Linked DNA regions of Macaca mulatta. The protein of the gene in region 1 purifies or fractionates together with the protein of each later gene. This does not show direct contact. Links are inferred from orthologs where the notes say so. Each region holds a gene or a part of one and is shown in the gene's direction. Other genes may lie near its edges.

Evidence for each region. Proteins that work in one complex are often made in the same cells at the same time.
Region 2: the proteins of SPDYC (region 1) and CDK1 purify together in Homo sapiens (co-immunoprecipitation; 3 studies listed by BioGRID and IntAct, with this or other methods). This does not show direct contact. The link is inferred for Macaca mulatta from reciprocal best matches to the Homo sapiens genes SPDYC and CDK1.

The regions. Positions count from the first base shown.
Region 1 is NC_133419.1:9,206,420-9,209,787, reverse strand, and holds the end of SPDYC (speedy protein C), read left to right. Parts: intron 1-799; 5' UTR 800-830; coding exon 831-972; intron 973-1,396; coding exon 1,397-1,455; intron 1,456-1,718; coding exon 1,719-1,804; intron 1,805-1,909; coding exon 1,910-2,081; intron 2,082-2,160; coding exon 2,161-2,491; intron 2,492-2,660; coding exon 2,661-2,695; 3' UTR 2,696-2,850; downstream 2,851-3,368. UniProt on the Homo sapiens protein: Promotes progression through the cell cycle via binding and activation of CDK1 and CDK2. Involved in the spindle-assembly checkpoint. Required for recruitment of MAD2L1, BUBR1 and BUB1 to kinetochores.
Region 2 is NC_133414.1:89,039,280-89,043,028, reverse strand, and holds the start of CDK1 (cyclin-dependent kinase 1), read left to right. Parts: upstream 1-1,107; 5' UTR 1,108-1,123; intron 1,124-1,155; exon of another isoform or gene 1,156-1,178; intron 1,179-2,697; 5' UTR 2,698-2,722; coding exon 2,723-2,759; intron 2,760-3,749. UniProt on the Homo sapiens protein: Plays a key role in the control of the eukaryotic cell cycle by modulating the centrosome cycle as well as mitotic onset; promotes G2-M transition via association with multiple interphase cyclins.

The DNA.
Region 1 (3,368 bases):
AGTGGCCCTTTCAACTCTGCTTTGGTGAGGGGTCGGGGGTGGTTGTGAGTTGGGGCCTGGAGGAGCAGTTAAGCTCTGGGTTTTTTTTCTTTTTTTGCCAGGCGCAGTGGCTCACGCCTGCAATCCCAGCACTTTGGGAGGTCAGGAGTGTGAGACCAGCCTGGCCAACACGGTGAAACCCCGTCTCTACCAAAAAATACAAAAAATTAGCCGGGCGTGGTGGCGCATGCCTGTAATCCCAGCTACTCGGGAGGCTGAGGCTGGAGAATCTCTTGAACCCGGGAGGCGGAGGTTGCAGTGAGCCGACATCGCGCCACTGCACTCCAGCCTTGGCGACAGAGAGACTCTGTCTCAAAACACACAAACAAACAAACAAACGAAACCCGAAAAACCTCTTGGGGTTTTGGAGACCAAAGACTTCACTTTTAACTGGCTGTGAGGTTTTCAGTTTCCTCGTTTAAAAATGGGTCCGAGTTAATCTTACCTCCTTACCAGAATGGAATAAGATAAGGCCCTTAAGCACAGCTCCAGGCACTTAGGAAGCCCTCAGCCGTGCTTGTTGCTGCTGTTACTCTGGCCTGTCCTGGGGTGCCAGGAGGAGGGCGGGGGTGCCGCAGCCCATAGCAACTCTTTGCTTCTTTTCTGACCTCCCCACTCCTCTTGCATCCCAACTGCCTTCTATTCTGAGCCCCCAAGTCTCTGCACCCACCCCTCCGCCGTCCTGGCCCCTGTCACCACCCTCTTGATTTGTGGGCGTCATGGGGGTACATGCTAAGTCCTGAGCCTCCTTTCTCTACAGGTCAACCTGCCCCATCTCCATCTCTTATGAGATGAGTGACTGCCAAGACCCCACCACTTCCCCTGTAGTTACCACCCAGGTAGAGCTGGGGGGCTGCAGCCGGCAAGGTGGGGGCAATGGGTTCCTCCGTTTTCGCCAGCACCAGGAGGTCCAGGCCTTCCTCAGCCTTCTGGGTGAGTTTGGAGGGCTGGCACGGGAGGGACTGTGAGGCCAAGTGTGAAAGCAGACGTGAAGTGTGAGGTCTCACCTTCCTGTACAGACATCTGAGGCCTCTGACCCTCACCCTCTCAAGGTAACCCAGCTTAGGCAGGTAGGAGGGGAGTCCTCTCAGAAACTGGGTTCAGGGCCAGGCGCCGTGACTCATACCTATAATCCCAACACTTTGGGAGGCTGAGATGGGAGGATTACTTGAGACCAAGAGTTCAAGACCAGCCTGGTCAACATAGTGAGACCTCATCTCTATTTACATTAAGAAAGAGAGAAAGAAGAGAGAGAGAGAGAGAGAGGGTTCAGTGGCGGCTTGGGCTTTGGAGCTTCTGATGCCACTCTTCTCCATGGAGGCGGTGGTAACCTGCGTCCTGTCTTCTCTACCCTCAGAGGACAGTTTTGTCCAGGAATTCCTCTCCAAAGACCCCTGCTTCCAGATTTCAGATAAGGTGAGAGAGCACAGGCTGGGGGTCTCTTGAGGTTCAGGTTGAGTTGGTGGGAATTGAGTGCCGCTGCTTTATTGGGTGCCCTGGTCTGGTAGGGAGAGCCACTCCCCTTCCACCCTTACCAGTTCATCTTTGCATACCCCTTCCCACCATTTTACTGACTTTCTTTCCCTGCAGCACAACCTCCTTGGGTGCAAATGAACCTGGGTGCAAGCCCCTCCTCCTCAGAGGATAACTAACCCCCCGACCCTGATCTGTCTCTGCAGTATCTCCTGGCCATGGTGCTGGTCTACTTCCAGCGCGCCCACCTGAAGCTCAGCGAGTACACCCACAGCAGCCTGTTCTTGGCCCTGTGAGTGGCGGGGGCAGGCAGTGGAGGCATTATCTGGTGGAGGTGTCGGATGGGACGGGGCAGATGTGTGGCCTCTGCTCCCTGACCCCGTGCCTCTGTGGCTAGGTACCTTGCAAACGACATGGAGGAGGACCTGGAGGGGCCCAAATGTGAGATTTTTCCATGGGCCTTGGGAAAAGATTGGTGTTTACGAGTGGGGAAATTCCTGCACCAGAGGGATAAGCTTTGGGCACGGATGGGTTTCCGGGCTGTTGTGAGCCGCCAGTGCTGTGAGGAGGTGAGGTTGTGGAGGCAGCCTGGGGTGTGGGGAAGGCTGGGGTTCCCACCCCATTTACTGTCCACTCTGCTCCTCCCAGGTCATGGCAAAGGAGCCATTCCACTGGGCTTGGACTCGGGACCGGCGCCCCCACCATGGTGGGGTTCAGAGGGTCTGTCCACAGGTCCCTGTTCACCTTCCCCGGGGTCCTGGCCTCTCGCCGCCCCACTGTTCCCCCTGTGGCTTGCCCCAGCACTGCAGCCGCCACCAGCTTAAGCCTGTGTCATCCAAGTGCCCTTCTCTGACCTCGGAGTGTCATCGTCCTCCTTCCCAAAATTATCTCTCAAGGGTCAAAAACACCTGGGGTGGGGACTTTCTCATCGTCTTGCCCCCGCAGATGCAACTGGAACCAGGCACCTACTCCCTCCGCAGTGAGTGCAGGATGGGACAGCAGCTGCAGGGCTGGTGTGGGAGCTTGGGAGGCAGGAGTGAGGACCAACAGTATGAGAGGGAGTGCTGTGGGCCTGGAATCGACGTGCTGCCCTTCCTGTGTGAGCTCGGCAGGTTTCCTCTCTGAGCCTCACTCTTTCCTCTCCGCAGTCTTCCCAAAGCCTCTGGCACGCCCTGGGCACTGAAGCCCTACAGGGTGAAGAACAGCACGCCTGCTGGCCCGCTGACTGACACACCACTGGCTATGCCCCCACCCCTGCCCCTTCCTCCCAGCCCGCAGCTTGTGCCCACTCTGGTCCTGGTCCCCTCTAATAAATTCATGTCCACAGGACACCAACTGTGCTTAGGTCCTGGCCTGGTTCCTTGACCCAGGGTTGGGGTAGGGAGGAGGTGTCTACCAGGGTTACACCATGTGAGCACAGGCTGTGTAACAGCTTGGCCCCTTCCCATTGGTGGCCAGTTATTCTGAGCCTCAGTTTCCTCTCTGTGCTGTCCATGCCTATGGATGATGAGATCTACACAGTCTAGATGGGATTAAGTGAGATGAGGTATCTGCAGCCCTTAGAAGAGGGCCAGGGAGCCGAGCCTGGTGGCTCACACCTGTAATCCCAGCACTTTGGGAGGCTGAGCTGGGTGGATCACTTGAGGTCAGGAGTTCAAAACCAGCCTGGCCAACATGGTGAAATCCCTTCTCTACTAAAAATACAGAAATTAGCGAGGCATGGTGGTGGGTGCCTGTAGTCCCAGCTACTCGGGACACCAAGGTGGAAGAATTGCTTGAACTGGGGAGGCAGAGGTTACAGCAAGTTGAGATCACGCCACTGAGCTCCAGTCTGGTGACAGAGTGAGGCTCTGTCT
Region 2 (3,749 bases), on another chromosome or scaffold:
AAACAAACAGGCAAAAAAAAAAAAAAAAAAAAAAAAAAAAAAAAAAGTAAGAAAGAGAGAAAGAAGGAAAGAACAAGAAAAAAATTAACTGCATTAAATGCAGAAATCTGTCTTAAGGATATTGTGGATGGCAATGAAGACAGAGTTTTTGACACTGGATTATTTAAAGCATAATTTAAACCTCTTTTTCTCCCCTCATAGAATTGTGAATTTTTGTGTTTTAATAATATTTAAGCTGGTCATGGTGGCGGGTGCCTGTAGTCACAGCTACGCTGGAGGCTGAGGCTGATTGCTTGAGCCCAGGAGTTGGAGGCCAGCATGCATAGCATAATGAAACCCAGGCTCTAAATACATGCCTCTCTCTATATATTTAAAATTCTGATGTGAAAATATTTTAAAATTTACATTTCAAATGTTTTTAATTGCATAATACACAAAATGTAAATAATAAAATAATTTAATATTAAATTCAAAAATGAGGTAGAAACAAAGCACAGCGATATAAATAATAAATCTTCCTTTACAGTTTTGAGACAGTCTTTTAAGTTTTCCATTACCTTCTTAAGGTCACTGAAAGGTGCTCCTTGGAGCCAGCCCGCAAATCACGCATTTAGAAAAACATAACTATACACTCCTAACCCTAAGTATTAGAAGTGAAAGTAATGGAATCTCGATGTAAACCCAATATCACTTTTTTGATGAGCTATTTTGAGGATAATAATTTTGAACTGTGCCAATGCTCAGAGAAAAAATTTAAAAGAAGAACGGAGCGAACAGTAGTTTCCTGCTCCGCTGACTAGAAACAGTAGGACGACACTCTCCCGGCTGGAGGAGAGCGCTTGCGCTCGCACTCAGTTGGCGCCCGCCCTCCTGCTTTTTCTCTAGCCGCCCTTTCCTCTTTCTTTCGCGCTCTAGACACCCGGGAAGGCCAGCCTAGCGTAGCTGGGCTCTGATTGGCTGCTTTGAAAGTCTACGTTCTACCCGATTGGTGGATCCGGGGTCCTTTAGCGCGGTGAGTTTGAAACTGCTCGCACTTGGCTTCAAAGCTGGCTCTTGGAAGTTGAGCGGAGAGTTACGCGGTTGTGGTAGCTGCCGCTGCGGCCGCCGCGGGATAATAAGCCGGGTACAGTGGCTGGGGTCAGGGTCGTGTCTAGCGGATGGCCCGGGGACCTCGAAGGGCGAGTATTGAAGAACGGGGTCCTCCTCTAAGAAGGCCGGACTGGAGAGCAGGGACCTGCGCGGAGCCAGGCTGGGCCTCGGGGTGGGGTGGGCAGGGCCTTTGCCTGGGCCTGGGCGTGTGAACCACACTGCGCCGGCTTTAGAGGGAGGCTATGGGAGCCCAGCCTGGCGGGGTTAGGCGGCGTGGGGGTGGGGGTGGGGGTTCGGGGCTGCAGTCGTGAGTTCAGGTCGGCTGTTTAGGAACTGCCTTAGGAGGCTTTCGGGTCTTGATTGAAGCAAAATCCGCTCCCCCACACTGAGCGCCAGCGGAGTGGCAGGCTCCTTCCTGGGCCCGGCCCCTGAGCGCCCTCCCATCCCGCCTCGGAGGTGGGAAAGCGGGACCGCACCTGGGCCAGGTACAGGCGCAGATTCCTAAAGCGAGGCTGCCCTGAGAAACCGATCCCGGAACTCGTGGGCCTTCTGGGGCTTGCTCTGCCCACGGCCCCGGCCCACCTGGAGCTGTTAAGAACACTCAGCCCAGGCACTTAACACTCATGAGCAGTGTAGTGCAGTTTTTTTCATTTAAAAAGATATATCTCTGCTTCTTTCTGGATTGATTTTTTTCTTTGAAGATGAATGTGGGAAATAGAACTTAAAGGTCTGTTCAGAGCGGGCTTTATAAATGATCTTATCATCAGTGATGGGTGTTAGAAAAATCTAGGTAATTATGCCTGGAGTTCTGACGTTTCATTGACAAACTTCAGAGGAAGTCTTGAACTTCTGGTTGTTTTTTGTTTTTTTTTTAAACCCATTCATTGTGATTCAGGTATACAGTTTTTCTGCTTAGTCCTTGACATTGTGTAGGCTATAATTAGAATTTTATCTGTGGAATTGCACTTTTCATTCTTTTGTTTTAGGGTGCTTAAGTGATATTTCCGACTCTTGGAAAAAGTACCTTGAAAGTCTTGAGCATGTTTGTGACCTCTGCAAGCAGAGGAAAAAAAGATTAAAATTGTCACGTGGGCAACTGGAAACGCTTAAAATGTTTTTGCCGCTTTAAACAAAATTTTCCTAATGAACAATCTGAACACATTTTAGTTCTCCCCTTATAACTATAAAAAATAGTGTTTTGAATAAAATTAGAAATATCATAAAGCGGTATAAATTTGTTGAAATATTTGGGTATAACTTTGGCACACTCAGATACTAGTGTCACAACAAGGGAACATAATTCTGGTTTTTCTTTGGAAAGAATAGACAAGTTGATATCTGAATTTGAGGGTTATTTTGATTGGAAGAAGCTAAATAAATACTACACTAGTATAGAATATACACGTTTCCAATGTCTCAGGAGTCCAGAAGGATGGAAAGTTATTGTAGGAGTCCTTACCCTTGTAAATATTGTTTGAATGTAGTTAATATTTATGGAATACTTATGTACTGCAGTAGGCACAGTGGAAAATGCTTTACATATAGTGTAATGCTAAAAACTACTCAAGTTAGTGGCATGTAATTAAGTCAGTTTTTCCTTCATTTTAGGATCTGCCATACCCATTGACTAACTATGGAAGATTATACCAAAATAGAGAAAATTGGAGAAGGTGAGTGGTTTTAGTAATATAAATTTTTGGGGATGATTTAACAATGCTACAACTTCTGTAATATGAACACATGTAAATATTTATTAAAATTCAACCATTAAGATGTCTTGTAGTACCAGTGTGCATTAATATATGTTCTTTACTTAATAAACGCAAATTTGTTCACATTTCAAGAGAATTGAAATTACTGAATCCCTAATGACCCATCCCTTCACCCCCATAGTCTTACAGTCTTCTGATACTAAAGAAGTATCAGAAATACTTGTATTTTGAAGACACTATTGATGACTTGCACATGTGTTGAGGGGCAGAGGTTAGGGATGCAGAATTATGCTAATTTCATAGTCTATTTTTAGTCTCTTTCAATTATTTTTAGGATGATAAATATTCTTATCCAGCCTTTATAGACTGGTTACAATAATTGACTTAATCTAATTTAAATAAAATTTCTATTTAGTTACCGTAAGAAAAAAATGACCTGTCATATGTACATGTTTAAGCTATTCTAAAACTATAACTTACGTATATAATCATTCCCTTTCTGTGGTACTTGAAGGAATGATCAGATCTATATATGGCACAAATGAGGGGTATATCCCTTCGCCTGTTCCTTGACTCCAACAGAACATTCTCAATTCTCCAGGTACAAAATAATTTGCTAGTAGAATCCAGTTTATATCGGTTCTGCCAGAAGGAAATTCACAACTATATTTTTAATGTGATCAAAGACCTCACTTGACAAGAAATAGTAAAAAAACAAGGGGGGAATACTGGAGGGAATTTAGTGAAATAGGAATGACAAGTTAGTGTGGTGTTCGATTGGAGGGGTGTGTGTGTGTATTTATTTTTATTTTTAAACAAATTAAATACCTCATACCCATTCTACTAAACACATTTTGCTGCTGAATTAAAAATAATGTGATTAGTATGTCTAATGCTTTGTAGTATGTTTCTTAAATTCCCAGGGAATTTGTGTTGATTTCAGTTTGG